Linked DNA regions of Kluyveromyces lactis. The protein of the gene in region 2 purifies or fractionates together with the protein of the main gene of each other region. This does not show direct contact. Links are inferred from orthologs where the notes say so. Each region holds a gene or a part of one and is shown on either strand. Other genes may lie near its edges. The genes, in order: KLLA0_E15555g and IMP21.

Evidence for each region.
Region 1: the proteins of IMP21 (region 2) and KLLA0_E15555g purify together in Saccharomyces cerevisiae (affinity purification with mass spectrometry; 3 studies listed by BioGRID). This does not show direct contact. The link is inferred for Kluyveromyces lactis from reciprocal best matches to the Saccharomyces cerevisiae genes IMP21 and YGR237C.

Annotation. Positions count from the first base shown.
Region 1 is NC_006041.1:1,385,526-1,396,855, reverse strand, and holds KLLA0_E15555g (uncharacterized protein), read right to left. Parts: upstream 3,791-11,330; coding exon 1,490-3,790; downstream 1-1,489. Other genes in the region: KLLA0_E15577g (uncharacterized protein), read right to left, coding at 275-586; KLLA0_E15533g (uncharacterized protein), read left to right, coding at 4,880-5,332; KLLA0_E15511g (uncharacterized protein), read right to left, coding at 5,513-8,230; TDA11 (Tda11p), read left to right, coding at 8,602-9,930; PEX21 (Pex21p), read right to left, coding at 10,134-11,054.
Region 2 is NC_006037.1:36,273-47,047, forward strand, and holds IMP21 (Imp21p), read right to left. Parts: upstream 1,930-10,775; coding exon 862-1,929; downstream 1-861. Other genes in the region: peptidylprolyl isomerase RRD1, read left to right, coding at 2,494-3,555; phosphoenolpyruvate carboxykinase PCK1, read right to left, coding at 4,058-5,689; KLLA0_A00506g (uncharacterized protein), read left to right, coding at 7,677-8,216; KLLA0_A00528g (uncharacterized protein), read right to left, coding at 8,315-10,775. UniProt on the Saccharomyces cerevisiae protein: Controls the nucleo-mitochondrial dependence of galactose, maltose and raffinose utilization. Becomes essential in the absence of functioning mitochondria.

The DNA.
Region 1 (11,330 bases), on a different chromosome or scaffold from region 2:
GAGAAACCGACACTGGACACAGTAAGCTAATGACTCACTTCGAGGCACTATGTAATAACCAAATAAGGTTTACAATTTCCACTGAATTCTAGTCGTGGAATCAAAAATTCATTCATCCATTCATTCATTAGTTACTTATAAAAGTCAGCTAGAAATATTATAAGAATATGCAAAAATAACCAATAACCAATCACACCTGATGGTAATGTTTACCAGAAATTCATTGGTTGAGGTTTCATTAGGTAAGTATAACGAAAAGAACAATTAATATTCTTCACATTATACTAGAAAACATGATAGTGTTAGCTTCTTCTACCAATTTCCTATATTCCTCATCGTTGTAGTACTTATTTCTACCACGAATATGCCAAGCAGCGACGGGAATATCCCGTACGTTTGCGAATAAATCAATATGGTCACCTTCCTCTGACTCATTAGTCTTTTGTCTAGTTAAACCACTTGTTTCTGTCTGATTTGTGTTTTGTGACATAGTCTGAGGCAAGTTCTGAGACATGTCCTTGGACATAGTCTCCTGTTGTTGTTGCTGTTGTTGGTTTGCTCCGAATAGATTTGAAAAGATAGTCATTGCAATATGCTTACAGTTTGATGTTTAGTTGGTGTCAAACTATTGTGTTCGAATATCGAATGTTGCGGGCTGGAAATATACTGGAAAAAGGACAAGAATCAGAGAAGAGCTTGTGCTTATATATAGATATATCTGTATGTGATCTCCAAATATTCCAAATATTCATTGTATAACACTATATAAAATCAGGGGGTGAATCAGGGATACCCCAACAGGGGAATAGATAACAATCCATGTCTTTGATACCAAAATCAAATTTGTGATGGAACAGGAATTACCATTACATTAAACAATCCTTAGCACAGCTTCCAGTACCGGTTGCACTTGTTTCCGTATCCTTCTCTTGCTACCTTCTCCCAGTTTCTGCTACTGGAAACAAAACCGGGTAACACACAACCCTTGTTTATTATATAATCACCAAGGACACCACCCAGACACCTCATATCATGTTTCCCTTTTCCATCCAAACATGGGGATAATCCAGTCACAAAAAGGAGATAGTGACGTGAGATTGAATAAGTAACGTGTGTTTACGTTCAGAGTCCATGCACTCACCAGTGTCCAGAAGGATTTTATCTTAGAGTAATAATCTTTCTTTCTAAATGTTTCCTTTCTTCAAGAAAGGCTATGGGCTGCATTTTTCTGGTCTTACGATTTCTTGATTGGATACGTTCGAATATGGGATGGAGGCCGCGTCTTTTCTATGTTGAAAAATACTGACGATATGTATCTATTTACTCGTGTTATTTTTGGTTGATATTCAATCTTTTTATCCGTCTGCATCTTGCTGCTTGTAGACTTGGTAATTAATAGTAGTAAGGTTCGAATGTTGTCAAGGCAGATGGAGTTAAAAGGCGCAACAGGTGATTAATTTTTTTTTAGTGTTTGTGTTTGTATTTCTGGTTAGGCAGCGTTGCTCTTGACGCCAAACATTTTCCTGAACATGCCACCAAGCTTGGATTTTGATTTTGATTTGGTTTGAGTTTGAGCGCTTGCACTTGAACCATTTGTAGCGGAATGTAATTGGTGTGCTGATGAGATCGATGATTTTCCACTTGTAGCAGTCTTCAGTCCAGAATTGGATTTTCTATTTGTTCCTTTCCCGTTTGTTGTAGAGGTCGGATGTACTTTTGCACTATACGAGTATGATGTAGAAGGCCGTTTTGGGCTGGAGACGGATGGCAGTTTCTCGCTCTTGACTCTTCTAACTATGCTCGAAGAATCGTCATCGCCTCCCAATAATGATTTCACTTTATACATTCCTGGCTCATCGGCAAAATAAACTCTAGATGACCGTCTACTACTCATAGTCGAGTTTCTGGAAGCTACTGGACCAAAACTGTTATTCTTGAACCTAGTTGGCTCTGGTGGAACGTATCCCAATCTTTCTATGTGTTGCTTCCTCCGTTGCGCTTCGGGCGACGTGGGGAAATAGTCTGTAATTCCTTTATCTGCCTCACTGTCTATACTAACCATATCGTCATTTCCATGTTCATAAACGTCTTCAATGCCCCTAGGTGTGTGGTCATTCTTAGAGCTAGTACCCAAAACATCGTTCAGGGATTTGATGATACATCTATCGAGGAATGCAAATTGATCATCTTTTGTGGAAATCGAAACAGTCTTATGCATCGGTTTCTTGGCTTCACCAAGATGATATGGATCGATAAACTCAAAGGGAATTATAACAGTAGGAACCCAAAGATGTCTATAAAGGAAATTGGGCAATTTAACGTTCCCATTCCTGAACTTGATGCTTAAGTTAGTCGAAATTGTGGAAACAACATGGAAATTTGGCCTGTAAAGATCCATAACATGTGTGACAAGCGGTTTTGCGGACAGTTCTTTCACCAATTCTATAGTTATTTTCATAACCTTGTCCTGACATTTCGCTGCATAGTAGTTTAACATATTTTCACATTTATATCTTGTAAGTTGATCCAATTCGTTGATTATCATACCCACTTGGCGGAATGGTAACTGTACAACTGCACTTGGTGTTTTGTTTTTAATTTTACCATCGAACGTGAATTCTTCCAACTTTGTTTTAGTGCTTCCAGTTTCGGAAGATTCATTCTTTTTCAACATGTTAATCAACTCTTCATACATTGGTAGATTGGTTGCAACAACCAAATGGTCACCATCTCTAGCAGCTTCTTTGATGAACCAATCAACAGTTGCCCAAGTATGTCTCCTACCGTTCAAAAAACAAACAACTGTCCTAGTATTCGTATCCGTATAACGCTTCCTGTAGTCTGTATGTTCCTTTGTAATTGAAATGGCCTTATGTGTTATTGATGGGCGTGATGGATAATTTAATGTCATATCAGAGGGTTTTCCACCAGCTCCGGACGACTTGCTACTGGGAGAAGGTTTAACAACGGTGTTTCCGATGTATAGCTTATACTGTTGACTGAAATCAAAACTGTTCAAATCTGTATTGGTTTCCCTCCCACCAGACCGAAGCTGTTTTTCCAACTGAGCTAATTCTTCATCTGTCATATCCATGTAAGACTTCTTCCTTTTCTCTGGTTCCGCTTTTTTCTCCTGTTTCTTTATCAATTTATCCTCTAATTCGTTTAAATTTGCAAATGCCGACGTAGTGTATCCCGATCCGTATTTGTTGCCTGCATTTTCCAGAGTATTTGACGTGGTTACCTTTTCAATTCTTTTCTCCATTTGAGGATCAATTACTGTCAAGTCAATCCCATCAGGTGAATGTTCACGATGCAGATCATCAAGTGAATCCCGCTTCAATATGGACACTGCTGGAGGAGGTGGTAACTTAGCAGATGACGAAGTAGCAGCTCTGGTCAACGAGGTACTCGCACTAGAGACAGAAGACATACCGGTCTTACTTCTACGGAGCCCATTCATAGAACCATACTCTGAATTGTCATTCGATAAAGTGGGTCCTAGCATATTTCTTAGTCCAACGTCTTGTTGAGAAGAACAGAAACCCAGGTCTGTAGATAATTGTGGCCTTTTCATGCTGAAATCGTGCACTCCACTATCGTTCGAAACACTCTCACTCTGAGAACCCTCTCGCACACTTGGATCACTATATAATGGATTGAACTGCGGTGGAACATGAATGAACGGGTTATTGTACGTTATCGGTTTATTGGATTCTTTCAAAGACCGTGCCTGATCGTCTATCAACGACGGCGATAGATCCTGAAAAGACACATGTTTAATATACATCACTTAGATGGAAAGAATTCGGTTTAGCGTGTGATCTTAATATGGGTAGTCCAAAGGTAGGGGTTCTGAAGTCAAAAATTCAATGAATTTGTTTAACAGACACACTGTAATTTTATATTGTAGGATTCCAAAAAACAGGTTTCTGAACTCCGGTGAGCAATTGGCGACCTTATCCAAATGTTTGCTAGATATGAATCTCTTCTTATACTTTCTCTGCACCTTATCCCTAATAAGCTCAGCCTAACTCAGACAAATAGAGAAAATAAATTTACCTTGCATCAAGATATCAAATAGTGCTTTGTACAAGGGATCCAAATTCTAAAATCTTCCGCATGCTTAACACAAGAGAAAAAAACCCACACTCATCATTTCTAGATATTTTTGTATGGTCTGCTTCCATATCCTAGCTTTTCCCTGAGTCGATATTTCTTCAGCCGACTTTAGAAATTGAACACTTGGAAAAAAAAAAAGAAAAAAAAAGGAAGATAGTACATGCCAAAGAACGACCCTAGACCGTACTTTGGACATCAGCTTTCGATAATAAGAATTAACCGAGTTCATTTACAAAAGAAACCCGTGTTTCTCTTCTAAAAACCAGTTCTAAAGCATTTTCACGTTATCTTTGCTAGTAAGTTCTAATCATTGGCTGTTGAGCCAAAGACAATCAAAGTACGTTTACCGCAAGAATGTCACTGCCTTGTCATATTGTTTTACATGTGTATAATTTCGCACTTAATTCAAGGGTTCAACAATGATTACTTCGAAATGAAAAATAATCCCGACAGAAAAACCTCGTAGTGCTTTAATTTCAATAGAATCATCCGAATTGCTGAGAATTGAAAAGCTGTTCATACAACCATTTCCTCTTTTGGGGCTATCACGTGGTTCGGAGTATTTTTTTTGAGGAAGAATTTTATTACCCGGAATTAAGTACCGTCATGGTTTTACCAATAGGAGAAAGCAGGCATGGTTAAGTTCACTGGACAGATTATCAGCGGCTAACACACGTTTAAGCCGAAATAAATTTCCAAAACGTTCATAATTGAATGAACTATCAGTAATCATAATTGTCGTGTGATAAAGGGCCTCATGGATGATATCGTAACGGTAACTGAATTTTGTGAGAGATTTAGGATTCCATCAAGCCTACGCGAATTTTATGGCTGGAACACAGATGTCATACGTCTGGACAAGGCAAACTTTAATGAAAAAGAAGCAGATATTTTAGCTTGTGAGAAGAAGCGACCCGCATCATCCTTGTTGCCTTCTTATTCGAAGAAACCAGCTGTAAAAGAGCACAGAATACCATATTGGAATTTGCCGCCGAAGTTTTCCGTACCAGCTAGTCGGGCCTCAATCATTTCAGCTCAAACAGAAATATCAAGAGGATCAATATTAGAGACGGATGATGCAGTGCCACCAGTATCTCAGTGCTCCATTCTTCAGAGTGAGACTCTGCAGACTTCCATTTTGGATAGCGAAATTCATATGACAACTCAAAGTAGTCCGCCACCTGTCATTTTATCCAGTTCCCACGATTGACAAAAACATGCATTGACATTTCATAATTTCGACTGATGTACAGTATAGCAGATAAAACATATATATCACGGAGTATCAGTGAATAGTTGTTTGTAATGAATATAAAACAAATTAAAATAGTTGAAAATATATATATCTAAACAATACATTCTATTTTACACGGTTGATATTATTAAGAGTCTATAGTGTTGCTTCAGAATGAAGTAGTTTCTTTTTGAGAGTCATGACATCGTCTTTTAGCGAATCACGTTCCTGTTTGATAATGAATAATTCTGCGCGAAGGTCGTTTATCTTTAATTGATAATGAGCATCATTCAAAGAACCGGACGAATCATCTGCTTCCTGGTTAATCGTATTCTCTAAATCCGATTTAAGTCTTGAATTTTCTTGTCTTAGTTTGATAATTTCATTCTGCAGCTTTTCCATCGCATTCCCAGAATTGTGAACAGAGTCAATAACTGACCTGTACTCTCTTTCCATCTTGGTCAGTTCTTCATGTTTTGAGGCATGCTCATCCTTCAATTTGGAGTATTCTGTGAACAACTGGTCCCTGGATGTAGTCAGTTCTTTATTTTGAAGAATTACTTCGCTTAACTTGCGATCAAGACCGGTCATTGTTTCTTTATGCCTGGTTACAACTGTTTCGTGAGCTTTTTGTTTCTGTCTCATGCCATCGAGCAAAGTGTCCAACGATTCACTACATTTTTTTATGTTTTCATTGATGAACTGTTTCTTCGAATCGAGTTCTTTCGTGAGAGACTCATATTTCTCAGATAATACGATATACTTTGATTCCAAATCCACATATTTCTCCTTATTATCGACTTCTGATTGTAGCTTGGCAATTACTTCTGTTTGGTGCTTAATCATGTCATTCAAGTGACTTAATTGGTTCAATTGCTTTAATTCTGTATTTTCTAGTTCCAATTCCATTATTCTGCTGTTTGCACTAGTAGCACTGGTCACAGTATCCTCCTTCAATTGCTTCAACTCTTCAAGTAATTCTTTCAGAATGTTGTTTTCATTCTTTTCAGAAACAATACGAGCAGGTTCACTTAAAGTGACAGGGCTTTTATCAGCGTCAGTTATTACATCTATGGATTTATCGAAGTGCGTCGTATCTGACAAGGAGTTAGGTTTAGGCGAAGGCTCAGCACCTGTGTTATGCATGATAGATGGTGAATAATTTTCATAGTCCGATGAGGATCTCAAGTTGGTTCCAACAGCGTATTTTTTTACATCACCTTTTGTCGGCGAAGTTCTATACTGAACAACTTCTACAGACCCAACATCAGGATCAGTGTCACTTTGCGTCTCTGAACTTAACTGAGACTGCAAGGACAATACTCTTGGAGGATCTGTATTGGCATCTTGTTGTGGAACTGGTGATTTTGGTTTAGGAGCAGTAGGTCCGAGGACGCCGGACTCAGAGCGTTTTCTAACTGCAGGAGTTGTGTTCACCGTTTCTGGTACATCTGGTGATAGAATTGAAGCTTGTTTGTTTTTCAATTCATCAAATCTTCCATTGGATTTCGATAATGGCGTACTAAATTTGTCCAGGTGATCAACATCATCGATCTTAAAGATGTCAGGACAAAACTCATTCAAGTTTGTTAGGTCCAAAGTGTAAATAATGGTACCGGCTCCCATGTCGACATCAGAAGTGCGTACATCGGTGCTGTTACCAACAGCATAATCAAACTTGTCACCACCCATGATTAGCAGTTTATTATTTGATAACAGAGTGAGAGAGTGTCCGGATCTTGCTCTTGGAATCATATTATTAAAAGTTGGTAGTTTGAACCATTTTAGACTCCTGAAGTTTAAGAAATACACGGCGTTTGAATAATTGTCCTGCGCATCCTTCCCACCAAAAACACACATTAAATCGCGGTATATGATAGCAGCATGCTCTTGTAATGGCGGTGGGATGTTTCCTGTAGTCTGCACTACACACCAATCATTGGCAGCTGGATCAAACATAAAGACTTCGTTAGTTAAACCTTGAGGAGTATCACCACCAAATACCCACAACTTATGATCAAACGAGATCATCGTGTGGTTAGCCAAGGGTGGTGGCATGAAAGTTGCCGGTTTAATAAATTCCCAGTGAGAATCAGATCTCCGGAAAGATGAGAGGTCAAACTCTGCTAAATCATTAAAATAGGTATCATCAAACTGACCACCAAACACATAAAGTTTGGTTTTCATTTGGTTCGCAGCAATTATACTGATTTTGTGACCGTATCTACCAAGTGGTCTAGGTCCTTGAGGTGTTGGTATGGTCCATTTGTGAGAGTTGATATTGAACAAATATATGTCATCGTCCATCAAACCGGCATCATTCACTTTATGAGTGTCACCACCAAAAATCACGAATGCGTTCCCACACAGTGTGGAGGCATGACCGACTCTAGGAGGTGGAGTAGCATCTGCAATGGGAACTGTAATAGACTTGAAACTTGTAGCGTTGTCCAGTGACTTGATTATCCATGTATCTCCATAAACCGATTGGTCGTGCAAACCTCCGATTACAAACAATTCTCCACTGTCAGTAGCATATGAGCTGGCAACATGCCTATATCTGGGGAAAGGGGACTGCTTTAGTCTAATTCTATTCCATGGCGTGAACACCTGCTGCTGTAGGGTACTCTGAGTGGACGTAGATCGTTGCTCAACAGGACTGACCATAACGCGTTGTTGAGCCGCAAGTAACCCAGAATCTGCAGCTGGTTTTGGATAGTTCTGTTTGGTAGGTGTAGAACTAGATCCAGGAGATCTCAATTCTTGTTGAAAGCTAGTGTTACCAATAGTGCTGTTAGAATTAGGTGTTGTATTTGGAGATGCAGAAGCATCTTTCCGATTCTTCTGTTTCTTTCCAAATTTGAATGGAGCCATTCTTGTGTTTGTAACCGTCTAAATACGCAATACCAGTTCCTTAGCAAGTGATAAATCAGATATGTGATATGCAAAGTATTTGATTCCACTAACTGGTGTAATAAAGCCACTGCTGGGAACCTCAAGCTGTTACGCACTGCAAAAAGTTGCAGCCGTCTGAACTATTTCTGGTAACTTCAAGTTTACACTGTTTCATTTTCATAACAACACGAAATTCTGTGAAAGACTGAAATTATCATTTCAATCAGTAACTTTGGGGCTTGATTTTAGTGTACAAGTTAAGGATAAGGGTAAAAAGGCTGATCTGACCGTAGTAAGAAGCTAGGCTTGAATCAAATTAGATCTTTATGTGTACGGTTTGGGTATAAACAATGGATAGAGACGTATTGGAGAAATTTATAGACCTTCAAGACAAAGAGAACGATATTGATACTAAGAGTAAAATATATCATGAAGTTACGGACAGAGGGAGCGTTACCCCTACATTTAACCAAGGATCCAGCGGTATGAGTCCCAAGTCTGTGGGGAGTTCCGGTAGAAACAAGAACATCCAGTTGCAATTAACGCCTACCAAGGCTGATCCTACTAGCACACTTGACTCGCATCCGTTGAAAGGTGATAATTCAGATCAAGACGATATCACTGGCAATATGAAGGAGAACGAGGACGATGTATCATTGGGGTCCGGTAAAGTCACCGTAAAGAACAATGGTAACGGGGTTTCTGCTGCTACAAATGGCAAGGGAGGCAATCAGGAGCTAGGAATACGAAGAAGCAACACATGGAAAAGAAAGTCTTTAATAATGCCATTAATGTCTCCAGAGCACACAGTTAAGCAGCAGCAACGTCAATCATATCAGCAGCATTGCAAACCATCAGAGTCTGTATCGAATACCCCGCTGGGACGGAAATATCGATCAAAACTTGACCGAAATGACGGACAAAAATCTGTGCGGTCCAGCATAAGTAGCATTGGATCACTTCTCCCGGATGGAGCCACCACAGAATTTAGCGCAAGTCCAGCTACTAAATTGAAGTTGCCTACAACTACGACCGACACCGCCAAAGTAGTGCCATCTGTTTCTGAAGATGATAATGATATGGAATCTTTGTTGCAATCACTGGCGAACAAGGAACTAGAGATATTGGAAAGGACAAGGCGAGTTCACGATCTTTTCAGGCAAATTAAGATTGAAGATAAGATAATAAAACAGAATGCAGAAGAACTTCAGCAGTTGAAGAAAAAAGTTAGCCGTTTAGTGGGGAATCAAGTTCAAGGTCAGAACTCTAATACGACATTACCTGCAGAATCCCATGGGGAAAGTAACAACGCAGAAACCGCTGATAACAAATCAAGCTCGTTATGGACAAAATCCGTTTCATTACTCAACCAATTTGACCAAATTATTCAGGGGACCGTTGAAACGAAGTTAGGATTAGGCGACTCGGGATCCAGTGCAACTGAAAATCAATCAGAGGGCAAGCCAAAAGGTGACGACAATGCGGGAAGTGCGATTTGGTCCTTAGTAAATGAGTTTAAAAACGGGCTTGGGTTACTAGCAACAGAGGAAGAAGATGCTGATGGGTCTATAGGCACGATAGCGACTGGTCTTGCTACCAATATGGAAGATTACGGCACAAGAAAGGCAGAATCATCAACTCAAGCAAAAGAGATTGAAATGTATCATTATAGTCATTAAATAAGATTATTTTTGGAACTAAGCTTTAGCTAAGTTAATCTAATATTGGGAAGTAAGTAGAATATGGTGATCCTGCCAGGTGATTTTCCACGTGAGTGTAGAGTAACTCTAACTCAATATGTATCGACAAAATAACAGTAGATCTGACAACAGAGAAATACCCCTCCACTCATACTTAGTAATACCATTTTATTTTTTTTTTTTCAAACGGAGTTATGGTACACTTTTGCAGCGGCTTCCGATGAACTCATATTAGATAAGTCACCAATGGAGTCCAAGGGGTCGCCTAAAACACTATCCTGCACTGGGAAATACTCTTCGCCAAAAGTTTCACCGGTAGAAGGAGAATATAATTCCGTATATTTATCCTCATCTGGGTTCTTTTTCAGAGTTATTACACCATCGCTGATATTTCTCATGAGTCCAAGGAACTTGGAGTTCGAAAATTTCGAACTAGTTGTAGATGATTTATCTGAAAGAGTTGTGTAAATGGATTGGGCTGCTTCTTTTAATTGGCGTTGATCTTCGTCTAGAGGAGACGTTTCTTTGAGATGGAAATCGTCATCCTTGTCCTGTTGCTGTTCTTTTTCATCGTCTTGCACTTGTCTTTCCAGTTCAGCAAATTGTTCATCGAGCTTCGCGCTACTACTGGCATACGCTTGTGACTCGAGTTGGTTCACCATCAGAGATTGCTGATGACGCGGGAACATTTGTGAATGGGACACCATCACCGGTGCACCCATGGAGTACGAGGCGCCACGCGCCTCGTACTGCGAATACATCTGTTTATAATCTGTTGGGAACTCGGTCTTGTCGTGCACCTGCATGTTTGCGAACTGATCGATCCAAACATGGTGATCAGAGGCTGTAGCAGTATTACTAGTAGTACTGGCTGCAGTAGTAGCGTTAGCAACAACAGCTGCCATAGGCAGCTGTTGATGCTGTGGATGAGCGAAACTGGGACCCGAGGCACCAGTAAACTGAGAGAACTGGTGGTCTAGTGCATTATTTCTTGGTCTGCTCTGCTGCTGTGCGATGCTCTGTTGGTGCTGATTCGGCTGTCCGAACCTATAACCAGACTTCGAAACAAGAGTGTTCAAAGGATTCGTTTGACACACTGACATGGTATTATATTTCTTGGTTGGTGGTAGTCTCCTCGAGCAACAGACATAAGACAACTAGTCCGCAAATCATCGAAACAAGCAATGTACAAACTTTATTTATATACATATATATATATATATATAATAAATGCAGAACCTGGACGAAAGAAAGAAATTATGAATAAAGAAATGAAACAAGTTCAGACCACTAACGGTTGAAAGATGTGGAATGGAAGTGAATAAAAAAAAAAAAAGTGAAAGAGCGACAGATGCGCAAACCCCCCGGGTAACAGTGAG
Region 2 (10,775 bases):
TCTCATTTATTGCTTATAGCATAAAGACAAGAAAATGCATTCAAGGTGCAATGATTTACCTCAGCGTGTTTGTTTAAGTTTCACCAAGCAATGCATACAGTTGTATAGTTTGCGATTGGTAGGCTATATTTTTACTATGTACCGCGTAATAGGCAAGTCGTAGGGGAATACTTGAATGTTTCGATTCTGTATAATGGTTTTTTATATCCTTGTGGTATAAGGCAAAAATAGGAAAAATAGCCACGATAGGAAGAGATGTGTGTGTACGTCCAGGTGTTCATGAAAGAAAGTTGCCAGCTTGATTTATTGCAAGCTCGTCAATTTTAGTGGATCGAATGTTTTTAGCGATTGAACCCCATGCAAACAAACAGTAGGAAAATCTCTCAGTACGCTGAAGTGAATGAGGGGTACCAAACTTTAAATTCTTGATGAAAGGAAAGACTACGGTATATGACATTACCCGGCCAATAACTCACTCTTGCGCGCTAATCCGAGCTTGCTGCATGTCATCCGATATCTCCCGAGATACACACTTGGTGAAAATTGGACAAGTAAATGTCTCGTCTCCATCTCCATGCCTTTTTTTTTAAATTAGTGTTTTCACAATCTTCGGATCCTGCTATTGGCTTTCCCCACAAATTTTGGTTATGTTGCTGCTCCTTCTCTTCAGTCAATAGATGAACGAATTTCGTCCTAATTACCCTGTATGTTTGCCTTAATTTTTTCGTTCAGCAGCAGTAGCATTTGTTATTTCGTTTCATATTGACAATGGCGTTTTTACTGATCACGTGTATTAAGTTTTAGTTTACGTTTATATATGTGTGTATAGTAACGGCTATATGCTTGTTGAAGTAGTGCATATCAGTCAGCTATCCCTCTACGCTTTGATCTCTTCAATTTCTTCCGAATCACAAGCATCGGTACTGAAGTTATGAAATTTTGTAATGATGCCAACACCGTTTGCAACGGAATAATAATCGACGATGGCTGCAAGGAATGTGCCATCTCAGTGAGTAATTGTTTCGGATATGGATGGTACATTGAACATATTAGGACGTCAATTTTGTCCAAGGTTCCAACTCCATTGGTGCATTCGAATAAATAATCTATGTGATCGCAAATTCGATTCATTTGAAATAGCATATCGTTGGTATCGTCGTCACATTGGTTTATGATGTACAAAGTGTCCCCATTAGTGAAAACAGAACCGAAAGAGTAAACTAAGGCGTATATTTTCTCAGCAAAAGATTCATCCATTTGATCCAAGTAAACAACGAACGAGTGGCCTTTCTCGCTCGTTGCGGCGGTAATATTGTCTCCTTTGCTCATATGATAGACAGCTCTATGTATTCCGTGTTGAATTTCTTCCAATTTGATATCTCTTTTGTCTGCTTCTGTTTTAATCTCAGCATTCTTCGCTAGCCATGGCTTCATAGAGTCGAGTACTTGGGTAATTGGTGTAACAAAGTTCGGTAAAACTTTACAACCTAAATCATAATCAATGTGTTCATCAATTTCTATTTCATTCTCTACATCACTCACTTGTTCCTCCTCACTGACCTCACCATCGTCTTCTCTATCTTCTATGAATTCCTCTTCATCTTCATCTTCATCCTCGTCACCACCATTTTCTTGTCCTGGAGATACGCTATCTCTAGTGTTTCCTTTTTTGGCCTTCAAATGTAACCTTTCTGAAGGGTCCTTATTCAATATTGTCCACTTCAGGTAGGCTTGGTCCTTTATACTTACTCGACTCGCAGACCTTGATATCGATCTGCTTGATGATATGCCGGTATCTCTTGTCTTACTCCGGGACCTACCTCTTTGCTCTGGTTCCTCTATCTTTATAGTTGGAAACGCTGGAGGCGCAGCCAGATGCTTATCATCAGTTAGTTTCTTATTCAAAATACCTCTTCCAGGTTCTTCCATGTCTAAATATGTTCAATGGCTCACTTGTAGTATACTTTGTCTGCGACCGGAGATTGAAGCTAAGTTGATAGTTATTTCAATGATGTTGGATTAAATATTCGTCCTGTGAATTCAGTAGAATAGTATTAGCTGTGATACAAAAAGTTAAAATTATTTCACAGGTACAAGCTAGTGTCGCGGATAAAGAAAGTAAATGTGTGACTGGTGACTTGTATTAGGAATCTTTTCTCTGGTGTGAAAACATAGCAGTATAATCGTTTTTCAAGGTTATTTTGGCTTTTTATTTTTATCATATGTTTTCATATCACTTCACAATTTCAGTGCCTGTACTGCGAACGCTTAAAAAAAGTTAGAATTCTACAGACTGAAATGCTAAGAAAGGATATGAAATAGCAGTTTCTCTTGTAACTTTTGGGGAGGCGATCTTGAAAACTAATACCTTCCTTGTAGGACGTATCAAATATTGCATTCTAATTATTCTCCCGCACATATTTCAAGCTGCAAATATTAAATCGAGAGTTGTTATGATATAACGGTGATAAATAAGGGATAAGAAACTAAGAGATGGACTTTGATTATGAGAACGCCAAGTTCTCAATGCCAGAGAAAAGAATATTCGATAGTCAGGGTACCCTTGACTTCCAGAATTCAGTCGCAATGGTTAGAATACAATATCACTTGCAGAAGTATATTACGCTTTGTAAGGGCCAGCAGATACCAGATACAATCAAAGAAAGTTTTTTCACTAATATCGTAGTGGAACTACTCAAAAGGCTGTCTGCCTTGATAGACGAGACACCTCCTGAGAGAATGCATAGTAGATATGGAAACCTTTCATACAGAGATTGGCAAACGAAGTTTCAAAACCAATTGGAGAATTGGTTGCATGAGTTATTGCCCGAAAAGTACAACAACAGCATCATAGAACTTTCATATTACATATCTAATGCATTTGGATCGAAGGAAAGAATTGACTATGGAACTGGTCATGAATTGTCCTTTTTAGCTGTGATAATTTGTTTGGATATGCTAAAAATTGAAACAATAAAGGGGCCGGCGCTACTTTATTGTTTCAATTCATATTACGACGTGATTCAGAAACTAATCTTAACCTATAAATTGGAACCTGCTGGGTCTCATGGCGTTTGGGGGCTAGATGATCATTTTCATTTCTCATACATTTTAGGAGCCACTCAATTGTTAGATGTGAATACTTCTTTAATACCAAAGGATATTTCTAATACTAGATTGATGGAACAAAACAGCTCTAGCAATCTATTTTGCAAATCAATACGATTCATTAATGTCGTAAAATCGGGCCCATTTTCCAATCATTCTCCTCTACTCTACAACATATCAAGGAGTGTTCATACATGGCACAAGATGCAACAGGGTTTGATTAAAATGTACAAGGTAGAAGTTTTAAATAAGTTTCCAGTCGTGCAGCACTTTTGGTTCGGAACCGCATTTTTCCCATGGACGAGTTATGGTAACAATCACTCTTTGCCAATATATCAGCCTGCAGAAAATAACGACGATGCTGATTTTTTGACTGCAAACAATGCTACTACGAAAATGCCTCCACCTTTGAGTACAAGCACATCTAGGTTTATACACAGACGTTAACACAGCATATATGGGATGAGATTAAAGATCTATTTAACCTGCTTTTATTCTTCGCTTAAGGATGATATTAATGATTTAATTCCTCCCATAAATAAATAGTATATCCAGATTAAAAGATACTAAAGCGTATGTATGTACTATAACCATATTGATAAAGGCTGTTAGTGATAAATTAAAAAGGACGAAAGTAATAGAAAAACGAATGAGAAAAACCCCAAGATATCTGTAGAATTTTCTTGTTATATATGTAGTCGAGAAAAAGATAGTTTCTAAATGCAAGAATCAAATAATCCGAGCCAATGGTATGTGTATTATTGTTAGTTGGTTTTTTATGAATCTCAGAATTTTATATTAATAATAATGAACCGGCTACGGTTGAGATAGTCTGGTTGAAGGTAACGGAAAAAGTGAAACTATGTTGAAGAGAAAATATTACTCAATAATATTTCACTCTGCCTCTTTTCGTTATTTTGGTATAGCACTTCTGTTGAGGACATTGTGATTATAATTGCGGACCAGCAGCTAAGACTTGTTCGGTAGCCTTATCTTGGTAGGTCTTGAAGTTTTCTACAAACAAATTAGCCAATGACTTGACATTTGAAGTGTACTTAGCTTCACCTTCAGCCCAGTTCTTACTTGGATTTAGTAGAGAAGCTGGAACCTTGTCACCCACAGCCTTTGGAATTTGCAAGTTGAAGATTGGCAAAACTTCATACTCTTCCTTAGCCAAAGAGCCATCGTGGATGGCATCTAGGATAGCTCTGGTGTACTTCAAAGGACAACGCTTACCACCAGCAACGTAAGAGGAACCAGTCCAACCAGTGTTGATTAACCAAGCGTTAGCGTTATGTTCGGCCATCTTTTCAGCCAACATTGTAGCATATTTCATTGGATGTAGAGACAAGAATGGTTGACCGAAACAAGAGGAGAAAGTTGCTTCTGGTTCAGTGACACCTTGTTCAGTACCAGCCATCTTGGAAGTGTAACCAGAGATGAAGTGGTACATAACTTGGTCAGGGGTCAACTTGGATACTGGAGGCAAAACACCTGAAGCGTCACAAGTCAACAGGACAATGTTCTTTGGATGGTGATCAGCTAGACATGGGATTTTAGCACTTGGGATGTATTCGATTGGGTAAGCGCATCTAGTGTTTTCTGTGATTGTAGAATCTTCGTAATCAACTTCTCTAGTGTTAGGATCGTAAATGATGTTTTCCAAAACAGAACCGAACTTGATAGCGTTGAAAATTTCTGGTTCCTTCTCGGCAGACAATCCCAAACACTTAGCGTAACAGCCACCTTCAATGTTGAAAACACCATGATCGGACCAACAGTGTTCATCGTCACCGATCAACAGTCTATGAGGATCAGCGGACAAGGTAGTCTTACCAGTACCACTCAAACCGAAGAACAAAGTAACGTCATTATCTTGAATACCTTGGTTGGCACTAGAATGTAAGGTGAGGACATTGTGATTTACAGGCATCAAGTAGAACATCACAGTGAAAATACCCTTCTTCATTTCACCAGCGTATTCGGTACCCAAGATGACCATTTCCATTTGCTTGAAGTTAATTTCCACAGTAGTCTTAGAAGTCATACCGGAGGTATGTGTGTTAGCAGGGAATTGACCAGCATTCCAGACGGTGAAGTCAGGTTCACCGAAATTTTCTAGTTCTTCCTTTGATGGTCTGATCAACATGTTCGTCATGAATAAGGCATGGTAAGCTCTAGCACAAACCACTCTGACCTTGATTCTGTAACGAGGATCCCAGCCAGCATAAGCATCAACAATGTAAATGTGATCCCTAGTTCTCAAGTAATCAGCAGCTCTTTCTCTGTTAATTTCCCAAGTTCTTTCGGAACATGGCTTATTTACTGGACCCCACCAAACGTTATCCTTTGAAGTTTCTTCTTCAACGATACGCTTATCACGTGGAGATCTTCCGGTCTTATCACCAGAGTAGGCAATCAAGGCACCAGCATTGGAAATGGCTGTGTCTCTTTCTTTTAAAGCATCTTCATATAACAAAGCAGCTGGAGCATTACGTCTGATGGTGACGACTTCTGCAGAAAGGCCAAGCTCAGCCCTAATATTCTCTTCAGCAGAATTTTGTGTCTTAGTTGGTGACATTATTTGATAATAGGTTTTATTTTCTTTCTTTTTAGTCGCGCTAGAGGAAAAGTCGATAACACGGTTAATTGAGTATTCTTAAATGGAGAAGAGTCAATTTATCGTATAGTATGAATTTTGGCTTTACTATTAAAGTGCTTTCAATGTGTAGAATCACTGAATTTTGGGTTTACTTTTATTGCAATACAACTGAGATAATATATAGCTACTATTGTACCTTATCAACACTTGAAATGTATCCATCAAACTAAATCATGAAAAACCATCGCCCTTATATATGATCATAAAAGATGAATATTAATCAATTCACGATATGACAGGACGAGAATAAATAATTGCACTTAATTACTAGATGGATAATTGATGTTCCAGCGAGTTATCTGACTCATTCTAGGCGATTTCAGTAAACAAGAGTCCCTTTCTCCCTTGGTTCGGTATCGATATAACTACGTTTTCTTTGATATCTATCTATGTGTCTGTTCGTTTCAAAATAAAATGTCCTGAAATGTCCTGAATGTCTATGTTTTATGTTTTTCGTTTGTCCGTTCCGTTGTTTGTCCCAGCGTGGAATTTGATTAAAACTAATTAACACACAAGGCAAGAACAAAAAAAATTGGGGACTTTTCAGTCTATACGGCACTTTCTCTAAATTTTTTTGTATTCAATAAGACCGGGATGTACAGACCAGTACTTGGATTGTTGGGAATAACGCCCAATTGCTCGAAAAATAGTTCCGAAAGATGTACGTTTCAACATTGAGTGTGGTGTGAAAGGAAAAACCTTGCCAGCCAAGTTCATGTCTGGCACTCGAAAATTTTTCCTTTCCCCCCTGTTGTTCTTTTGGTTCACAGGATGTAAGTAGGAGAAGGGGGACAAATTTTGGCAATTTGTTGTACCGCTCCGCTCCCGGGATGCCTCTGGGTAGATAGCGTGTGGGGCAAGAGGATACTGGAAAAAAACAAAATTTACTTCCCGGGTTGATATTGAAATGTGATGTACGGGTGATATTCCCGGGCATCTGCTCACTTCCTGCAAACCTTCGTAGCTTTATTTTTTTCGATTTTCATTTTACTTTCTACGTTCTTCATTGATTTCGGGTTCCCCGGTCGATCGCGTGGGGAATCGACATGCTAGTGTACAGCCGTATATGGTGGACCGGGGAAAGAGAATGGAACGGAGTTGGTGGCGTATAATGATTATATAATCAAGATTAAGTGGTTTCTTCGAGCGTTTCAGTGTCATTGGACTCCGAAGCCCGGGCTCATCTACAAACTCAAATAAAAGGACATTTCTGGAAGAGGGACAAAGAAGCTTGTTAATACCATCCATACGTACTTAGGTAATTTTATCGGTTGTAACCTTTCCCTTCCCGGGGTTGAGATGAGCATGTCCGAGAGTCTTCTCTTGGTACATTACCTGCTTGTCCCTCTATCTGTCCAGTTTTACTATATTCCGTAATAGACAATGCTCAGGCGATCGGATCATACCGGCAACCCAATTTTTTAATTTTCTTTTTTTGTATACCCCAGATTTATTTCTTCACCCAGTACTTCGCGGCCGTAGAAACTAACAGCGCTCTGTGAATTCTCTCTGCTCCGGCATTGGCGGGTACTTTTTCGGTTGACACATTAAATGGCTTAGGACGCGTATTAGCTTGTGGTTTGGCAATCGTTCTCGATTACCTCACCAAAATACAAAAACCAAAACCGAATATTAGGATCTTCAGTTAGTTTTGGACCCTAAGTATGATCACGTGATCATGATTGATTATATAAAAAATTGCCCCACCCTTTGCCGTACCGATTATCAAACCATTGGATCCTTATTTTTCCTGAGGTTCCCAATTGTCGAAAATGAAAAGTAAAGGAAAGAAAAAACAAGGACAAAAAATAGAGTCTAAACAAAAGGGTAAAGTCACGCATCATAGGCATGAAGTTTCAGACATCACCGACATATTTTCTGACACCCACCAAAGATTTCACTCACAATGACAGATACCAAAGGAAGGACGAAAATAGGAGAGGTGTCTGAGTTGGTGGACGCATGGTTTGGCAAAAAGAGAAAATTGCTCTATGCACACAAGAAATGCAACGCATCCAATATCGGCGGTAAAGGATCTATTAACAAATTAATTCAAACTTCAAAATCTGTCGTCCGGGCTAGAGCCTCTAAAAGGCAGAAAACATATACTGCTCCAATGGCTGCTAGCATTATCCCTAAAGCAGATTTCTCGAACGATATCTCACATTCACCTAGAACAGTTCAAGCAATTGTTTTTGATTCTTCCACAAAGATAAGGCTAATGAAAGAACATCACTCAGATGCCGATTGGCTTAGGTTGGTAGTACGACAGCATCACAAGCTTAATGACAAACTAACCTTGTTAAAGACCGATCATCCAAAATTCAGCACTGTCATATTGCAGGGGCTCTGTTCGTCGAATGTGCATCATGTGCTCTGCCATGATGTTTCTTTTTTTTCATTATATCGAGGCGTGTTTTGGTGTTTAAACTGGAAATTAGGGTAAAAATATGTAAAAGCTATTCGAAAAGTCACACTTTTTTAGCAGAAGACGATACCACCAAAAGGAAATGTCGATAGGTTGTTGCTTTACTTAAAACTAGTTTAATTAGTACATACACCAGTTTCTCGCCCAAGTTCTCTACATATTGCGAATACAAATCTTGTGCTGAAAGTGCGTATCCCTAACTGCTGAGCCTTATTTCTCATATTAAAGTCATCGGTAACTAGACTGACAAAATTAAATCTCTGAGTACTTTGTCCATCTTCAGATAGAGGTATGCAGTCCTTACCTTTTTCTATTGCATCATTGTTTAAAACATTAAACTTATCTTGTGCTTTGGCTATGGCATCAATGACAAACTCGTCAACATGGGATTTCCACGTCATCTGCTCTTCGATCTCCAAGTGCTCTTCAAGATGCCCTGCTACATTACCCGTAAATCTTAGGGCAAGTAGTTTACGCTCGTAATATAGCTGCCTAACAGCAATCACTGCTCTAGTTGCAGCTTCGAGCACACTTTCATCTTTTGATTTACGGAGAAATCTCAATTCTTGGAAGGTAGTCAAACATATGGCAAATTTCAAAACACTACTTGTGGCCAGCTTGTAAATATGAGCAAAATGCCTCAACCAAGTGGTTGCATCTAGCACAAAGAATGTCACATTGGTGTCAGCTTGACAATTCAAATTCCCCAAAAAACTTCTATTGAGTAATTCTCTCTGTCTAAAATCCGGGTTCATGAAGGCCTCCAACCATGGTTGCTCGAGTTTATCGATGGCAGATGAATATTCCAACCTATCTTGCACTACGAGCCTGCCGTTATCTAGAATTTTGTTTGCATTAAAGTCATCACCACCTTGAATATTCGCAGTTTCTAATGGGCCTTTGGTATATAAGGAAGCTGTTATCAAATCACCATTTTTATTGAAACAGAAGTAGTCCGGATACATTAATTTGAATCCTTGCAAATTCTCGATAGATACACCAGGAATCATCGATTTGGAGCCGTCCTGTAAGTTGTCACTGCAGTTTAAATTGGATATAATTTCAAATTTTTCAAATGGGAAACTCTCATTCTCTTCTGGATAGAGTTCTACTGATAATTGATCGTTAGTGTCATCATTAAATCTAAACACTAAATTCTTCCAGCTTGTTGCTTCTGGATTCAACTTTTTACAACCATGACCATATCCATCACAAGCTTCCCACTCAGTAATGATGTTGAATAGTAACAGAGTTCGGCATATTCTTTGCCAATATTTACGTCCAAATTCGTCATCATCATCGAAACAAATACCTTCAGTTGGGGAATCCAAAAACAGAGTATCTGATAGACCTGTACTTTCTAAGGTGGTGACATCGAGGTCAGATTTTTTACTGATGGTGTTGAACCATAAAGAACCCCAACAGCTCCAGCATTCTGGTAGATTTTCATTTTCACAAATGCTTGTTAATAACTCCTCTCTGTTCATTGGCAAGTAAGTCGACATATGTGCATCAATATCAAAATTTTTGGTACCCGTAACCATGCAGTAATGAATTAGTGTATTCATAAATGTAATCAGAGAATCCCAAGGAAATATTCTCCTAATGAACACAATCCAAAATTTCTTTAATGTCAAATCATTGACCTGATCAAGTCTTATTTGAATAGAAATTATGAAAAGTAACCAAGGTAGAACATGGGGAAGAGCAGTGACAATGGGACCATATAAAAACCGTCTCAAAACAATCATGCCACACTTCATTGAGGTTACATTGATGTAATGAAGAGACCGCTTCCAGACACCTAAATCTAGTGGAAACTCGTACGGAACTTTTGGAGAGTCAATTGTGCTGAAAAAGTCTTCTGTCGAAGCTTGTTGCTGCGAAGAAAACTCTACTGGATCTAAAGAACCTTCCGAAGTGCTCTTGGTTGATTTTTTTCGTTCTTTACGTTCTTTACGAGATTTTAGGTGTTTTGAGAGCTCGAATAGCATTGCGAATGGGTTCTTCGGGTCACCAAACCCACATAGTTGTAGAATGTGCGATTGAGAAAATAGTGAGGAATGTCTAAAGAAATGTTTTAATCTTTCTGCATCCTGAATGAAAATCAAATTTGGATCAAAGAAGTTCCCAGAAGAGGAGACACCAAATTTGTGTTGAAAGTAATGTATGACGACATTTTGTAATTCTGATGATTCCAGAAAGCTTGGAAGTAACATCACTTCTGTGTGCTTTAAGTAGTCAACAATGTGATTTGTCCTGTTTCCACTGCTGTCACGTTCAGCAAAAGCTCTTTGGTAGATGTTATCTATGACTAATTGCATATACTGCGGGGAAGGAACAAAAATGTCTTCACAGAAAACAGATTTTCCCAAATTGACAAATGCTTCCAAAGTGTTTTGTTGAACTGTTGACATATGATAATATAGCTTCCCATGGCCAAAAGTGAATTTCAGGCTTTCTCTGTACCAATGCTCAGCACTAAGTTTCCAATCAACGAATCCGGAAGGATATAGAGCGATTGCCATTCTGGATAAATCACCAAGCCTTTCTAGCCAGGGGATGGAGTACTTTGGG